Linked DNA regions of Macaca fascicularis. The protein of the gene in region 1 interacts with the protein of each later gene in a pairwise test. Links are inferred from orthologs where the notes say so. Each region holds a gene or a part of one and is shown on either strand. Other genes may lie near its edges. The genes, in order: CRYAB and gamma-crystallin C.

Evidence for each region.
Region 2: the proteins of CRYAB (region 1) and gamma-crystallin C interact in binary tests that used the Homo sapiens proteins (3 or more experiments, as listed by UniProt). The link is inferred for Macaca fascicularis from reciprocal best matches to the Homo sapiens genes CRYAB and CRYGC.

What each region holds. Positions count from the first base shown.
Region 1 is NC_088388.1:110,833,596-110,842,528, reverse strand, and holds CRYAB (alpha-crystallin B chain), read left to right. Parts: upstream 1-3,164; 5' UTR 3,165-3,210; coding exon 3,211-3,411; intron 3,412-4,201; exon of another isoform or gene 4,202-4,270; intron 4,271-4,492; coding exon 4,493-4,615; intron 4,616-5,949; coding exon 5,950-6,153; 3' UTR 6,154-6,292; downstream 6,293-8,933. Other genes in the region: HSPB2 (heat shock protein beta-2), read right to left, coding at 1,050-1,504, 2,012-2,105. UniProt on the Homo sapiens protein: May contribute to the transparency and refractive index of the lens. Has chaperone-like activity, preventing aggregation of various proteins under a wide range of stress conditions.
Region 2 is NC_088386.1:104,090,650-104,099,582, forward strand, and holds gamma-crystallin C, read right to left. Parts: upstream 5,434-8,933; 5' UTR 5,190-5,433; coding exon of another isoform or gene 5,181-5,189; 5' UTR 5,112-5,180; coding exon 4,839-5,111; intron 3,867-4,838; coding exon 3,594-3,866; 3' UTR 3,528-3,593; downstream 1-3,527. UniProt on the Homo sapiens protein: Crystallins are the dominant structural components of the vertebrate eye lens.

The DNA.
Region 1 (8,933 bases):
ACCATGTCTGGCTAATTTTTATTTTTTTGTAAAGACAAAGGTTTCACTCTGTTGCCCAGACTGGTCTCTTACTCTTGGGCTCAAGTGATCCTCCTGCCTCGGCCTCCCAAAGTGCTGGGATTACAGGTGTGAGCTGCTGCACCCAGCCAAGAAACAACTACTTTAATGGAAGAATTGTAGGTATCTACCACAGCCTAATAAAATATGTATTCGGAGGCAGGAAGGTCGTTTTGGACACCTCCCCCAAATCACCTAGCTGGATGTTCTCTTGATTGCAGAGAATAACTGAGGGGACAGACCCTCAGGCTTTTCTGAATACACCATACCCCCAGAGGACGGGAAGGTAATGGGGTTCCATGATCATTGGAGAGGCTTTGTGTCTGTGCCCCTGTGTATGCATACTCGGGCTCTCAAAATCAGTGACCATTTCAGTGGACAGACCTTAGTACATGAAAACAAAGTATTTACTCCAGGGCTTTAGGCAACTCTCATCAGCCAAAAACCATTTTCCCAGCCCCTACCCAAAACGGGCCAGACAGTCTGGAGACCCTTGTTTTTGTGTCTCTAATCACCAGCTCAGACAGTGCCCTCTGGGCTGTTTGGATGGCATATCCCTTTTCTCTCCCAGGATCACTCTCTCTTTTGTTGCACTGTGAGAAAATCACGGCTAGGAATTTGATCTGGAGCCAGCATCAGCTTCCGGGTGTGATCTCAGTATCCAAGTGCGAGCTCAGGGTCCTATGACGTTAGGCACATCAAACTGAGGAACTTTTTGTCTAGCTGGCTGTGACCGCCTCCCTCCCTCCCCATCCCAGCTTGCCGGCCACAGAATAGGGAGCAGCACAAACAAGGCCCTGAGATTTGGGTTTATTCGGCTCCACCCAAAACTAAACCAAGGCTATGACACGTCCCATGGGACCAAACCATACATTGTAGACCATGCACCTTTCCTTTCCCCCAAGGACGCTGCTACCTCTGGAGTGGTGGGCAGCTGCCCATATCACCATGGGAGGTAGAGAGGGATTTGCTGGGTGCTGGGTCTGTGGCAATCAGGGCTCAACTATGGCTGCCTCCTCCTCTTCCTCTGGATCAGGAGGCGCAGGGAGCAGGGAGATGTAGACCTCATTGACCTCTGTGTCCAAATGTCGGCCACCCCGAGGCGCTTCCAGGTTTAAGATGCCATCATGGGAGAGAGCAGCTCGGACCCGCCAGGGGTCGACATCAGCAGGCAGGACATAGGTGCGGCAGAACTCTCGGGACACGAAGCCGTGGCGGTCCAGGCGCTGGGGGTGCCGGGCAGACACCTCCAGCAGGTTATCCACAGTCCTCACAGTCACCTCGTCTGGGGTAAAGTGGCTCACATCCAGAAATGCCTGGAACTTGCCCTCACTGAGCCTAAGCTCGGAGGCCCCTGCCCTGCTGCCCTCCCCAGCTGGGGCGGCCCGAGGCCGGACATAGTAGCCATGGTAGAGTGTGGGGGTCAGGATCTCTTCTGGAAGGAGGCCTAAGGGGCAGAGAGAACGCAAGAGGCAGGATGAGGGAGGATGAGGCTGGCACAGGGGCGAAATGGGAAATCTGGAGAGGAGGGATTGGGAAGAGCAAGAGGGGAGTCAGGAGGAGTGGGGAACGGGAAGGAGGCCACACAGTAGCTAGGAGGAGAAGGCAGCTGGGAAGAGGGGAAAGAGAACGGAAAGGAAAGGGAGGAGGAGGAGGAGAAGCAGGGGGAGGAGGAGGCACCAAATGGCCTGGTTGATAGAAGGGGGACAAGGAGGCACACCCAGGCGGGCAAAGGGCAGGTAGCAGCACTGCAAGCACCAAGTGTGTCTTGAGGTCAGCAGGAATGGGAAAGAGCTCTGCTTGGAGGGGATGAGAGGGAGTCTGGGGTGGGGGGTGGCTGGTCCCAGGAGATCAGTTAAGCCCAGAGTGGGGTGGAGGCCAGTAACGTTGGGAGGTCAGCCCAGAATTTCAGGGGGTGGGGGTGGGAGGCAAGGGGGTGGCATCTGTGCCATACCTTCTCCGAAGCGCTGCTCACCCAGGCGGCTCGGGTTGGCAAATTCGTACTCAGCGGTGGCTGGGTGGGCATGTGGCACTGAGCGGCCCGACATGGCTGCAGATGCAGCGGGAGCCCTGGTCCGAGGTGCAGCCCCAACAGGCGCAGCGCGACCCCTCCAGCTGCCCGGAGAGCCAGGGCTCGATAGGAGGTGGGGGCGGGGTCGACACCACCCAAAATAGTGCCGAGCCTCTGGGGGGGAGGGGCGGGGAGTGGGGGCCCTGAGTGAGAGCAACGAGGGTGTGACCAGCGCCGCCTGGACCCCTAGTCCCCTCCCCCGCACACTCTTCAGCTGTCGCAGGGGGCCTGAGAGGACAGCTGAGGGTCCTGGTTAGGAACGAGCTGAGAAGGGGGAGCTGGTGGTGCCTGGGGCATGAAGAGGCCTCGCTGAAACCCTCACAAACGGTTTGCACGTTTCCACACCTCATTTTCTCCTCCTTGGAGGCCGGCACTGTGCACCCAATTCCTAAAGCACTCCTGGATTTAATGTTCTGAGAGCCACATAGGATGAAAGATGCAAGAAATCTTTCTGCTCTTTTTTTCAGGGAGTGGGGTCTTTCTGCCCAGATGTCGGAGTCCTCTCCTAAACCCAGGTCAACCCAGGGCAGGAGGCAGATGGCTGGTACCCGCATGTTGACCATCACTGCTCTCTTCCAAGGACTCACAAAGAGTTAATGTCCCTGGGGCCCAGCCTAGGAAGATTCCAGTCCCTGCCCAGGCCCAAGATAGTTGCTGGCCTGATTCCCCTGGCATTCAGGACTGAAGAGGAGGAGGAGGAGGGGCACACTCCACCGCCTGCCCCTCCACCCACCCGCGTGCCTGCTTGGGATTCCTGACTCTGTACCAGCTTCAGAGAACTGGGGTGGGGGTGGGTGCCACTGGGTGTGTACAGAAAGCTAGTGAAACAAGACCATGACAAGTCACTGGCCGGCTCAGACGTGTTTGTGTTTCTCTTTTCTTAGCTCAGTGAGTACTGGGTATGTGTCACACTGCCAAATCCCCGATCACAAGTCTCCATGAACCGGCGGTGAGCTAGGATAATAAAACCCCTGACATCACCATTCCAGAAGCTTCACAAGACTGCATATATAAGGGGCTGGCTGTAGCTGCAGCTGAAGGAGCTGACCAGCCAGCTGACCCCCCACACTCACCTAGCCACCATGGACATCGCCATCCACCACCCCTGGATCCGCCGCCCCTTCTTTCCTTTCCACTCCCCCAGCCGCCTCTTTGACCAGTTCTTTGGAGAGCACCTGTTGGAGTCTGATCTTTTCCCGACGTCTACTTCCCTGAGCCCCTTCTACCTTCGGCCACCCTCCTTCCTGCGGGCACCCAGCTGGTTTGACACTGGACTCTCAGAGGTGAGTCTCCCCACTGCTAGAATGGGAGAGTCCTTACTGGAACCTCCTGTAAACTTCTCCATCCATTTTCCTCTCCTTTCCTGCCTAAACCATTTTAGGCACATGTGTATCCAAATGTGAAGAAAAATGAGGAGGTTGCTAGTTCCTCCCTCCCCCGTCACCTGTTTCTACTTGATGGTCCTCTGTATCCCATTTATTACATTTTTTTCATGCACTGTCAAGTTCATCCTCCATCCCCTAACTTCTCTGCAGGGTACCCCTTTCTGGTTTGGTTCATAACAATCTGCAGGGAAAGAGCTGCCTTCAAACTCCTTTGCTCATCTCTTCTAACACCATGGACTCTTGACCAATTTTACCATCTCAGGTGTCAGAGCCAGGAGAGAGCCCTGCCTCACCCTGCCTGAGCTGTTCACCCTCATGGGCATTTTCTGCCTTTTTATTCCCTCTTCTGTGATTTTCTGGGTTTCTCAGGGCTGTGACAGGGCATTGGCCTGGGTCCAACCAAGCCTTATGAGGAAACAATATAGGGACCCCCACTCGTCCTAAGAGGGTGAGAGAACAGGGTGAACATATAAGGTTGACAGAAGCTGTCACAGATAACGCTCTGGTTTAAAAATATTCGAGTGTGAGTAAACAGGAGATGAGTGGGCAAGGGCTTTGGAAGGACAAGCAGGACCAGCAGAACATTCCAGATTGGGTGGGTGGAAAACTGGCAAAGAGACCTGAGCCAGAAGAAGAGGCCTTTGTCTCACAGACAAACCACAAAGCCAGGCATCGGAGCCAGAGAGGCAGCAGATGCCAGGCCTGCACCCATCCTTGCGACTGGTCCCCTGGGTGATCTGTCTTCTTCTCTGTCCCTGTAAATAAAGTTTGGGTCGGATCACCATGAGCCTTAGGTATCACTGTGGTGGCTCCCTGAAGCAGAGAGCCATGTTTATTTAAAAAGGGGATATTTTAAAGCAGAAAAGAGAAGGATGAATTACCTGGACAGAAAGCAACTCTGCAGAATAAGACAACACCAGTATAATGAGTACTTTCGCCATCTTTCTCCCGTCCCATTCCCTTACCTTGCTATTTCTAGATGCGCCTGGAGAAGGACAGGTTCTCTGTCAACCTGGATGTGAAGCACTTCTCCCCAGAGGAACTCAAAGTTAAGGTGTTGGGAGATGTGATTGAGGTGCATGGCAAACATGAAGAGCGCCAGGTATGTAGCTTGGTTTTTGTTTTCTGCTCATTCATTCAGTGTATACTGTAATAGTCCAGGTAGTGCTATCAGCTTTGGAGGCTGGCTACATTCCAGTCCCAAGCTATAATAGTCTAGATCAGGGGTTACAAATCAATGTCTAGAAGACTAAGTTAGGGATAGACCTATTGCTGTTGTTACTGTTGTTATGGCCAGAGATGTGGTCTTTGTTTGATTTGATCGCCTTAGATGGGATGATGGGATGTTGATGCCCCATCTTAGCCAGAGGTTCTGAATCTTGGCCACATTAGAATCACCAGGGGAACTTTCAAAAAACCTAATGCTCAGGCATACTCCAGACCAATTAAATCAGAATTTTTAGGGGTGGGACCCAGGGCATCAACATTTTTTAAGGTAATTCTAATCTACAGTCAAGGTTGAGGACCACTGATTTAGGTATAGGGCTGTCAGACACCTAGTTGCTTTGCATAATTACATTAACTACAGGTACCCTAAAGGCACTTGAGTTGTGAATTCTCTGTTAGCTGTGCAAGAATCCATGTCTCTTCTTTAGCCCATCTTAATGCTGAACTACTTGGTTTGTCTAAATTTCAGAGCTGTGCTCAGTCTTTAATCCCCTATAGCCCATGCGGAAATCAGTTAATGAGAGCCTGTTTGGCTACATGCTTGAGAGTCAGCAGGCATACGGGTTAAGGTCATCTACTCTTTGGGGGAATTCTGACGAATGGAACAGCTTTTCATGACTTTGTAAGAGGGCTTTAAAATTCCTTCTCACCAATTAACGATAGCTCAGCGATAGCTCAGAACCTGTGCGTCAACCAGTACAGTTTGTCCTTAGTAATGTCCTCAGGCTGTTTCAATTTTGCTCATATGATTTAGGTTTGGGTCATAGTCTCCTTGGATGGAGTCTTTTTTTTTTTTTTCCCCCAGCAGCAGTCCTATTGTTCTGGAACCTTCTGGGACATTCCTGAAGAGTCAGGACAATTTCAGGGCTTCCTCAGGGACTCAGATTCTAAATGAGATTCCAAATTCTGTAGGCCCAGTCAACATTATCTAAACCTTTGGGAAATACTCCTAAACATATCTATGCCTCAGGGTTTGAAAAACAATGAAGTGTTGTACTGTTTCAGACTTCTCAGATTCTCACTGGTAGGAGTGACTACCTAGGTAACTTCATCTTAGCCACAACCCTGAAACAAAGCACTGTTTATTTTTCCTATGTTGTCATGGCATTTGGTCTCACCTAAGGGGAAATCAGGATGCCTGAGTTCTGGGCAGGTGATAGTAGTTCATATTCTTATCTCTCTGCCTCTTTCCTCATTCTTTTGGGTTAGGATGAACATGGTTTCATCTCCAGGGAGTTCCACAGGAAATACCGGGTCCCAGCTGATGTGGACCCTCTCACCATTACTTCATCCCTGTCATCTGATGGGGTCCTCACTGTGAATGGACCAAGGAAACAGGTCTCTGGCCCTGAGCGCACCATTCCCATCACCCGTGAAGAGAAGCCTGCTGTCACCGCAGCCCCCAAGAAATAGATGCCCTTTCTTGAATTGCATTTTTTAAAACAAGAAAGTTTCCCCGCCAGTGAATGAAAGTCTTGTGACTAGTGCTGAAGCTTATTAATGCTAAGGGCAGGCCCAAATTATCAAGCTAATAAAATATCATTCAGCAACAGATAACTGTCTTGTGTTTGAATATTCCACACACTTTTAAATAAATGTACGGATACCACAGATCTATTTATGATTGCATTATGATTTAGAGGGCTCCAAGGATTTTAGAGTCAGAATGACTGGCTCCACCATTTACTAATGATATAAATTTAGGCAAGTTGCTTAACCTTTCTGGTCTTCAGGTTTTCCATTTATAACATGGGTTACTGAGTTGTACAGAGCTATTATAGGAAGTAAATTAAGGAGAAGAAGCAGGAAAAGCCCCTGGCAGAGTTCAAGGAATATTAGTTACTCTGTCTCTGCCCTCTTTGATTTTAGCCCTCAGTTTAAAGGACTGGAACACATCTGAATGAACTCTGGATAATGCTACATAAAAGGCCTTACTACATCTCTAAAATTAATTACATCATCAGGGAAGACATGGTGACCCTAATATTGTTTGACGTTTTCCTATTGATAAGTATTGCCTTAAGCTGATTTACAAGGGCAATAAGCAGGACTTGGCTGATTATCACCTAACAAGCTCTGAGGTATAGGCTAAATCAGTGGCCCCCAACCTTTTTGGCAGCAGGGACTGGTTTTGTGGAAGACAATTTTTCCCGTGGCCCCGGGGGAGCAGGGGATGGTTTCGGGATGATTCAAGCATTAGATTCTCATAAGGAGTACACAAGCTAGATCTCTCACGTGTGCAGTTCACAATAGGATTCATGCTTATATGAGAATGTAATGCCACCACTGATCTGACAGGAGGAGGAGCTCAGCTTCACTCACCTCCTACTGTGCAGCCTATTTCCTAATAGGCCACAGGCCAGTACCAGTCCATGGCCTAGGGGTTGGGACCCCTGGTCTAAATTATCGAGCAAACACCTACTAACCTAAGGCCAGGAAATATCCAATTCAATGACCTACCACATAATAGTTAAGTTTTAGAATTACAATTAATAACCAATCAATAAGTGGTTCCATTATTTAGCTTAAAGACATACCACTATGCAAAAAAATCCCCCCCAAAAGAAAAAACAACCCTCCATTTCATTTCTGTGGGTCTGGACAAAACTTCTGATTCACTTGATAAACAGGACTGCTGTAGGTGATCTGGTATAAATGTTTATTGACAACTTTTATTTTTTCTTCAGCAGCTTCCAGCTAATTTCTGATTTCTTGCAAAATCAGAAATCAGTCAGTTTGGGGACTGACCAGGGTTTTGAAATATTCTACATGAAACAATTGCCTAAATTTTTTTTATAACATAGAGGGGAACAACACACACTGGGGCCTCTCGGAGGATGGAAGGTGAGAGAAGGGTGAGAATCAGGAAAAATACCTAATGGATACTAGGCTTAATACCTGGGTTATGAAATAATCTTTATAACAAACCCCCATGACACACATTTACCTATGTAACAAAACAAAGGAAAAAAAAAGATCATAATGAGATACCATTGCGCCTCTATTAGAATGACTAAAATGAAAAATTGACTATACCAAGTAAAACAAAAAATATAAATAAATAAATTGGAAACTTAAAAATAAAAAAATTTAATGATGCAGGGGTATGGAGCTAGGACAACATAAATTGCAAATCTATACAGGTTCAAAAACGCTTTCTCTTAAAAAACAACTTCCTAATAGTCTGAAATACTGTGATCTAGCCAGAAGTTTACAGCTAATTTTTGTGGCTGTGCAGCAGACACTGTTGGCTGCCTAACCAACAGCTATTTACCACCTTCAGCCTTGCCAACATTACCCCAGATTGGTTTAGGTATACACCATATTCTTCCTAGCCATATGCTTCAGAGAACTGAACTCAAGCTCCAGCCAAAGGAGGTCTATCTTGACTAGTCCAAATCAAGCAGGGAAATCCTCTTCTTGATTTTCAATATTATTTTTGAAAGGCCTGTGACTCAATTATGGCAAATGAGGCAGGAGGGAAGTCTGTTGGAGATGCTTCTAGAAAAAGTTTCTAAACTAAGAAAAGGTTTCAAAAAGATTCAGAGAGAAAGAGAGAGAGATTTTTTTTTCCTTGCTCTGGATGTCGGAGCATGAGAATGTGATGCCTGGATTACTGTAGCTGTTTTGAAAACGTGGAACGTGCATCCATGATATGCTGAGCACAAAGACAATAATCTCAGGTCCTTAATGGGTCAATGAACTGCTGAATTAGCCAACTCTAGAGTTTCCCTACTTCAGGCTGTTTGATTATGTCTTGTTTTTGTTAATAATCTGTTTTGACGTGGGTTTTCTGTTACTCCTAGGCAAAAACATCTGACATTATCAAGGCTGAATTAGATAGTGTAACATAACTGAATGCCTGGAAGCCATGTGTCAATTTTAATCATTTTAGTGAATTATCAGTATATTTCCCAAGCAAAGATGGACTTGGTTTTAAATAAATCACAACTTTGACTATTATATAATGATATTTGTTTCAAAAATGTGCAGGGTCACATTTTTTTGTTTGTTGTTACCATAAGTGCCTAAGTTAAACTGGTTCTTTATTGTTATTCTTTTCTAGATCATACCCTTTGCTGTGGCTATTCACAGCTACGATATTAGTATAGGACTAGTACAGTATGTTCTAGTACAGTATGTTTGAGAGTTTTTTGTTTTTTGTTTTTTGCTTTATAGCTAACTCATCCATG
Region 2 (8,933 bases), on another chromosome or scaffold:
TGTAGCGGGAGGGCTGCTGCGTTGGCAAGAACCGCACAAAAGGGGCCCGCGGAGGGGAGCAAGGGCATTTTCGTGTTCTCTTTTTATTCTTTGCTGTCCTAGTCCGCGGGGCTCATTGTGGATTTTGGTCCCATTCTCTCTGGAGTGTTCGGATTACTATCATTGGCTGATGCTATTGAGAATGTTTGTAAAAAGGTAATTTGGGACATTGTCTATTTATAATAGAAGTGGAGCTTCAGCTATTTCACATATAGTTCACGCTTTTGTTTGTATAGGTTGGGGAAAAACAAAAAAAGTTTAAGTCGGGGAGCAGAAAAAGCAAAGACTCTTAATAAGGCAAATATAAATTAATCTGTCAGAACTACAGTATTACTTACGTGCCACAATGCTGAATACTGATTGTTAATAGGAAGGAAATGGGCTTAACTGAATGTTGAAAATTTCAAGTTTAGTCCTTTAAGAGAACGTCGTCATGAAAGGGTGTAAGAAATTGGAATATTTTATCAAGAGAGTTCACAGAATTTTGAACCTTTATTATGGTAAAACACACAGCAAACATGAATCTTCGATATTGGGTCTGATCTTGTTACAGTTATGCCTGGAAGGAGCTGAGAATTAGATGTTTTTCTCTTAGCTAATGGTGGTGCCGTGATTCAAAAGAGAGAATAGTTAGTTCTAAGAGGCTTAATCTCAGAAAGAACTAAAAAGGGAAATATCTACGTTTGAGGAAATTAGAAAAGTAATATGTGCGAAACAGAAAAACATGATCTCTTAGCTTATTATTAAATAAAACCAAATTCCTAAGAAACTTATTTCTAGTGGGATCTAGAATACATCTTTGTTCTCTGAACGAGCGAGAGTACACAAGGCCTTTGACTCAGAGGAAATTAATTGCATGAACACGAAGGGGAGCTATGGCTGGAATGATGCAGGGAGAGGAAGGAATAAATGTCTAGAAGCTGGACTCGAGGAAGACTTTAGAAAGTATTTATTGGCCTGGAAGAGAACAGTTTGATGGACTGGAAAGAGCACTGGAGTGGAAAATGACCTGTGTCCAGCTTCTTTCATGTTCAAAGAATTGCTCACAGCCCTGTGTCAACCCATGGAAGTACTTTGTCTTGTCTTTGAGTCATAAATCTTTGTAAGTGGTATTTATGAATTAACCACCAACTATGTGCAATACAAATTATTTTAATTCTTATTTTCTGGCTGCTGCTGCTTTTTTTTTTTTTTTTTTTTTGTATTCTTTCTATGTAGAGCTCTGCAGTGGTAGTGAAATACCTTTTTCTTTTGTTTTGTTTTGATTGTTTTCTTCATCCCCATTGCTACATATAGCAGGCTCATGGTAGGTGCTCAAAAATTGGTAAGGATCCTAACTCAGAGAAGTTGAGTATCTAGTGGCTAATAAATGGAGGATATTGAAATGGAAAATAAACTTGTGGCTGGGTGTGGTGGCTCACACCTGTAATCCCAGCACTTTTGGAGGCCAATGTGGGAGGATCACTTGAGCCCAGGAGTTCGAGACCAGCCCTGGCAACGTAGTGAGACCCCCTTTCTATAAAAAATGAAAAAATTAGCTGGGCATGGTGGTGCACTCCTGTAGCCTCAGCTACTTAGGAAGCTGAGATGGAAGGATCATTGCTTGATCCTGGGAGGTCGAAGCTGCAGTGAGCTGTGTTTGTGCCACTGCACTCTATCCTGGACAACAGAGTGTGACCATGTCTCAATAAATAAATAAATAAAATAAACTTGCAGTATGAGCCGGTAGTCTCACTTCTAGGTCACTATCTTTTTAAAATTATGGCACGTCAGGGTTAGCGTATATGTACAATGTCATTCTTTAGCGTATATGTACAATGTCATTCTTTGCAGCATTGTTGGTCAAAGCAACATTGGGAAAGCCCAGTCACTTAAGTGGACAAATGGTGAAATGGTCTAAGGGACTTCCAAACAACAAGATGCAATTCAACCATGAAACAGAATAAGATACTGACCTAGATATATGTCCATATTATAATACATTTTAAAAGCAAGTTGCAGACTAATATATATAGCATGATTCCATTTTTGTAAAGAAAAGAAGCATGTGTTTTATGAGACAGCTATATAAACAAGGCGAAAATCCCAGAAGGGTGCTCACCAACTATAAACAGGAGTTAGCAATGAGGGGCATCAAAAGGACTCCCTTCTACTTCTTTATAGAATTTGTACAGTAGTAAGATTATGGGAGGACTTTTACTTTGAAGGGAAATTTTTAAGTTAAAATAAATTAATTCTCTACTGATGAAAAGACTTGCAATTGCTTTCTTTTCTTTCTTTTTTTTTAAAAAAAACTTTTTAGGGCTTTGCTTATGAGCAAGCAGATTTTAGTTTAATCAAAGGCTCCAGAAATTATGGCTTTCTTTAATGCACCTTTAAATTTGGGCCCGTTTTGTAGTTACAGGACTTATTTATTTATTTTAACTTTTATTTTAGATTCAGGGGCACATATCCAGGTTTGTAATACAGGCAAATTGTGTGTTGTGGGGGTTTGGTGTACAGATTATTTTATCACCCAGGTGATAAGTATAGTACCTGACAGGTAGTTTTTCGATCCTCTCCAACCTGGAGGTATTTTGTTTTCTGTTCCTGTGTTAGTTTGCTTAGGATATTGGCCTCCAGCTCCACCTATGTTGCTGCAAAGGACAGGGTCTCATTCTTTTTTTATGGCTGCATAGTATTCCATTGTGTGTATGTACCACTTTGTAAAACCCAGCCTACCATTGATGGACATTTAGGTTGACTCCACGTCTTTGTTGTCGTGAATAGTGCTGTGATGAACATATACACATGTGTCCTTATGGCAGAACGATGTTTTTTGTAGTTACTTTTTATGTTTGGGGTACACTATACCATGCAAATCTATTTAAAAGATTGATGTGTATCTCTTATTAATTTATTTGCAATAGCTGGTCACCATGAAACTGATGTGCAGTTTCTGTAATTAACACAGCATTTGGGCCAGGGGTAGTACTGACAAAGAGCTACAGTCCCGGACAGGAGTCATTTTCAAAAGGAGATGAATGGTCTTTAACTTTGTTCAAAGGTACGGCAGTGGCCGTGGTGGCTCTGGCATTACTAATACAATACTGTGCCTGAAAGTAAACAAAAGTACAATCCTTTGTATAGTCTAATCAGGCTGTTGGCCAAGTTAAGTGTGCCCTCACCACTCATCTGACTTTACCTTTTGTCTGACCCACATTTTTGGTTAGAAGGAAAATTCCGAACTATTGTTCCTCAAGGTACTTAGTTGAATGCCTCCCTTCTCGCCAGTCAGCCTCTCCCAGGTCTCTGGCATTGCCCTGCCTTTTCTTTCTCAGGCAGGCTACACCCTGCCTCCACCCTAACATCCGAGGCTTGTTCAAACTCACTCTACCTTGAAGCTCTTCTCCAACAGGCCCCGTCTCTTGCCCCATTCACTTAACTTTTGACAAGGAAATTTAAAGGTGAACTGATTTGCACAATGAAAGAACGACAGAAGTCAGCAATTGCCAATAATGCAGACTAAATCTTTATTAGGTTCCAAAATGGGAAATTGGTAGTGTTAAGCTATTTCAGTATAAATCCACCACTCTCCGCAAAGAGCCAGCCTTAGCATCCATGGCCCCCCAGTCCTGGCACCGCCTGTACTCTTGGGGCCTCAGCAGGTATTGGCGCCCCCGGTAGTTGGGCAGCTCGTAGAGGACCCAGCAGCCCTCCAGCACGTGGAGGGAACGGATCTCGCTGAGGTGGAAGCGGTCCTGGATGCTGGGGCAGTCCTCACTTAGCTCCATCATGAGGCCTTTGTGGTCTTCTCTCTCGTACAGCCGCAGCCTGTGGGAGCCTGTCTACTCGGTCCGCAGAAAGAAGGATAGAGAAAAGCAAATGAGTCTCTTCCGGAATTTGTCCAACCAAAGAACAGATGAACTTGGTAGGGTGGGGCATGGAATTGTCAATGTCAAATTTAGACAGTGTAAAATGTAGATTACTGTGGATGCTGCGCATGGATCTGTCTTCCACTAGCACCTAAATACTGCTATGCTCATTTTCTTTTTGACCTGAAATTCATTCTTATGTAGGAGATGGAATTTTTAAGAGGTTCAAACGCTGAGTTAGAATCCATCAAGAACTCAGATATCTTGATTCCTAATTACCTGTGTTAATTCAAACTACATTTCGGGGAAAAAATAGAAATAGTTTATTTTGACTAGTATTCTTTTAGTAAGAGTATTATCTCGCAAATTTATAAACATATAAATTTACCACTAAAGTAAGATTTAAAAAATCTTGTACTTCAGTGTAAAGTTAATTTAAATAGTCATTTGGAATGAGAATTTAACTGATTTTCCAAATTAAGAAAAATTACCTTTTCCAAAGTTGGACACAACCTTTGAATAGCCTATATTAACAATACAGCTTTGAAGGTTTACTTGTCCACAGTGGAACCTATCTAATTAATTCATCAGAAATTCTTTTTCTATAGGCAAAACAATTTGTTAAAAATACCGTCTTTGTATGCCCAACCAGCTTCCCATTTGCAAGTTTTGTTTTATATCCCATTTGATATTACATTTGTTACAGACCACTTTTAATTGACTTATTGGTAGCAAAAATTTAAAGTAAAACGGATTCTCCCTCTAAGTGGGTTCTTCCTTACATTTCTCTGCTGTTTTTGTCCATGTTATCTATCTGGCTTATGCAGGTCTCTGATGTCCATCTAACCCTTAGGAGTTTTTAAATGCAAACCTCCCTCCCTCTAACCCACATTGACCATACAGTGGGGACACTCCGGCGGCATGATGGAAATCTAGAAAACTCACCTGGGGGATGAGACAACAGGAGCGGATGGAGTCGCTGAGGCCCATCCATTGCTGGTAGTCAGGGTACTCCCCTCTCCGCAGCAAGTATTGTTGACCTTGGTAGTTGGGACGCTCATAGAGCATCCAGCAGCCACTTTCCACCCGGATGGAGTTGCAGCGGCTTAAATACGTCTGCAGGTTGGGGCAGTCAGTGGTGGATTCGTAGCTGCGGCCCTGGAAGGCCTTGTCCTCATAGAGGGTGATCTGCAAAGGAAGAATCGTTCCAAATTGCATTATTTGCTCTTAACAGGCATTATATAACGGCAATTTTTTTTTTCATTTTATTTTTTGTGTTCTGCTTACCTTCCCCATGGCTGGTTGACACGGATGATGCGAGTTCAGTGTGATGGGGCCTGCGGCCGCACAGCCAGTCTATATAGCAGGATGGCTGCTGCGTTGGCAAGAACAACACAATAGGGGCCCTCGGCGGTAAGGGGATTTTACGCATCTCTTTAACATGCTGCATTCACTGGAAATGATTGTAGATTGTGTCGTTGTTCTCTGGTATATTCTAACGCTGTCCTGCACATACTGCTCTGTGTTGCTTTTATTTGGATTGTTACTGTTTTCTAAATTTATCTGTGCATCAGTCTGAACTTTTGACCCGAAATTCATGGCTCTCTCTATATGATTGAGTAATTTCCTGTGAATTTTCTGGGAAAGATCTATGCCATTATAGAATCGCTCCAGGATTCCAGAGAGGTTGTTGATGTAGAATGCCACAAACACTGACTCATTTCCCTGGATGGTAGAGACTGCTGTACCTTAAATTTTTGTCTTTACGCAGTTTTCCAGTCCAGGGCAGGACACAAATCTAGATTCATGTCTTGGCTAGTTTTGACTTCGTTAACCCAATGCTTTAAGACAGCTCTTAACCTTGCCTTTCGTGGGCACGTCATCTAACTAGAAATCAGTCCCTGGTGGTGAACTTATGATAACAAGCAAGGGAAAGGTTTCTGTGGTCACTGGGCCTGAGACTGAGAAGTACTGTATCCTACTTTATAGATTGCTTTCCCTTTTTCAAGCGTGAGGGAGGCCGTAAAGCTTCACAGGCAAGAGCGTGAGCTTTGGACTCAGGCCACCTGCACTCAGAAGGCCCAATGATTAGCTCCATGGCAAATTACATAACCACTCAGAGCATGAGTTATCTCATGGACTATAGTCTGATTAATAAGAAATAAAGTGAGACAAGAGGGCAGCCTCTGACATTCAGATGCTGGCCTGGCACTCACAGTGAGGACATGTTACTCCCCTGCTAGACATAAACAGTCTCACAGAATAACAACTTCAGACAAGGCTACTCTGAGACCATGATGAAATGAGATACAATAAAGCCACTTCTTAACTTTGCCTAAGCGCAGACAAAAACAAAGTCAATGCTCCACTCTCAAAATCCCAAGCCCTCACTCTCTCAGCCAAAATGATTAACTGCTACTTCTTTATGGATTACAGGTTTATCTGTGTTCTAGTCTCCCCTCCCTACGGGTAAGATTTCTTGAGATAACTAATCACAAAATTAACCCTGCTTTCTGCTAACATCTAATCTAGAGTGAACTTCAGATTTTTAAGATCCTCCCCCAAATCACACAACTGAAGTGCAAATCCTATTAACAATTTCTTTATAAGCTCTCTACTGAGACACTCCATGCTTCCCCAAGGAGAACTTACTCCCTTGCTGCAACAAGTAATAAGCTCAACTTGTTTAAAGACAGGTGTGTCCCTGGTGGCCTTTAGCTAAAGGATATTGACATGAATAAGTGGGATTATGTGTATAAAGCATTTGGCACATACTTGGCACAAATGAACACTGAATATATGTTGTTATTAGTAATAGAGTGACATCGTTAAGGCTGACTTTATCCTGTTTATCTCTCTCAAAGGTATTTAATCCTTTCAAAGATTCCTGAAAAAAATTTATCCTCTGTAAAGCCATTTTGTGATTAAAGAAAAATTAGGCTTGGAAGGGACTTCAGAAACCATCAGGCGGTTTTCAAACTCGAGTGTGCCTAAGAATCACCTGGCATGTCAAAACCGCAAATTACCATCTTGACCTTTTGGCCAAATCCTGCATCATTAGATCAGGAGAAGACCTCAGAACCTATATTTTTATTTTTTATTTTATTTAATTTATTTTATGTTTTGAGACGGAGTCTCACTCTCTTACCCAGGCTGGAGTGCAGTGGTGCGATCTCAGCTCACTGCAGCCTCCGCTTCCTGGGTTCAAGTGATTCTCCTGCTTCAACTTCCTGAGTAGCTGAGATTATAGGCGTGCGTCACCACATGCAGCTAATTTTTGTATTTTTAGTAGAGACAGGGTTTCGCTATGTTGGCCAGGATGGTCTCAAATTCCTGACCTCAGGTGATCCACCCAGCTCGGTCTCCCAAAGTGCTGGGATTACAGGCATGCGCCACCGTGCCCAGCCCAGAACCTATATTTTTAATAAGCACCAAATAGTTCTTGGGCCAAAACACTGCTGTGGTTTATCCCTTTATATTTTGACAAGGAAATCATGTATTTTAGCCATCCCCAGGCAATGCCTTATTAGGAATTGTACTAACATTCTCTTTATTCTATTTATTTATTTTTTGAGACAGAGTTCTGCTCTGTTGCCCAGGCTAGAGTGCAATGATGCAATCTTAGCTCACTGCAGTCTCTGCCTCCCACACTTAAGCTCAAGCTCCCACTTCAGCCTCTTGAGTAGCTGGGACTATAGGTGCATGCCACCACACCCAGCTAATTTTTTGTATTTTCTTTATGTAGAGACAGGGTCTCACTATGTTGCCCAGTCTGGTCTTGATCTCCTCAAGCAATCTGTTTGCCTCGGCCTCCCAAAGTGCTGGGATTACAGGCATGAGTCACTGTGCCCTGCCTAACATTCTCTTTAGACCTAAAGGCAGATGTGCTCTCTGCTTTGTAGCACTCTTTCTTGTTCTATAAAGTTTCATATGTACACAGTGAGAGAATCAGAGCAGAGATACCAGCACTTAAATTAGAGCACTGGTAAGAAGACAGGAAAAGCAATAAAGGGGCCAGAAAATGCATATCCCAGAACGTTTCTCTTGTTCCAGAATGGCATAGTCTTGTATTTCTCCAACCTTTTTTCAAATCTTTCTCCTTCTCTCCTCTGCCCCAACTACCCCCCACCCCAAAACCCCTGCCATTGTAGCTGCCTTACATAGGGTCTTATCGTATCTCAGCTGGACTTTCAACAGCCTCCTGACTGCCCAGTCTTATCTTCCTCCAAACTGCACTCGGCCAGATGCTGGAGTGATGAGAATCAAAACACATCAAGTCATGCTGTTCATTTGCTTGAAATATTTCACAGCCTCCCATTGTCTCCAGGATCCAATATTGATCCCTTAGCATGGCATCCTAGACCTGGCCTCCTCTGTCTGTCCCCATGCTTTCTGTTTGATCACACCAAACCACTTGTCATTTCCCAAATGCACAACATTATTTCATGTTGTTCTTGTTTTTCAAAATATTGATCCTTCTCAATGAGACACCAGTTTATTTTTCAACCAGAGAAATTTTGCCCTTTCTTCAAGTCTCAGCTCAAGCATCAGTTTCTCTGTAAAAGATTTTCCTGAACCCTTCCTCATCTTCTGGGCTGAATTAAATACTGCCTCCATAGCACCTCATGTTCATACCACTATAATGGTAACTATCACTTATCTAATTATTTTGTTTAGACATCAGTCCCTCAAAACAGATGGGAGAGCCCCATAAAGGCAGGGACTATTCCATCTTTATTTTTGTGTTCTCACTAATTGGCATAGAGGACTGGCACATACAGGATACTCAATAAATGCCTGGGAGGGGGGATGTGTGAAAGTCATCCCTTGTCTGAAATTATTGTTATCATGGTCTATGGAGCTTATTTCAAATGCTCAACATACATAGGCATAACACACTTACATCAAAGTTCAGGATGTGCAACTTTCAGTGTGTAGGATGACATAAGCACCCTGTACTTGATCAATTTAATGGGGCTTTTTTTTTTTTAAATGAAGTCTTGCTCTTGTCACCCAGGCTGGAGTGCAATGGTGCTATCT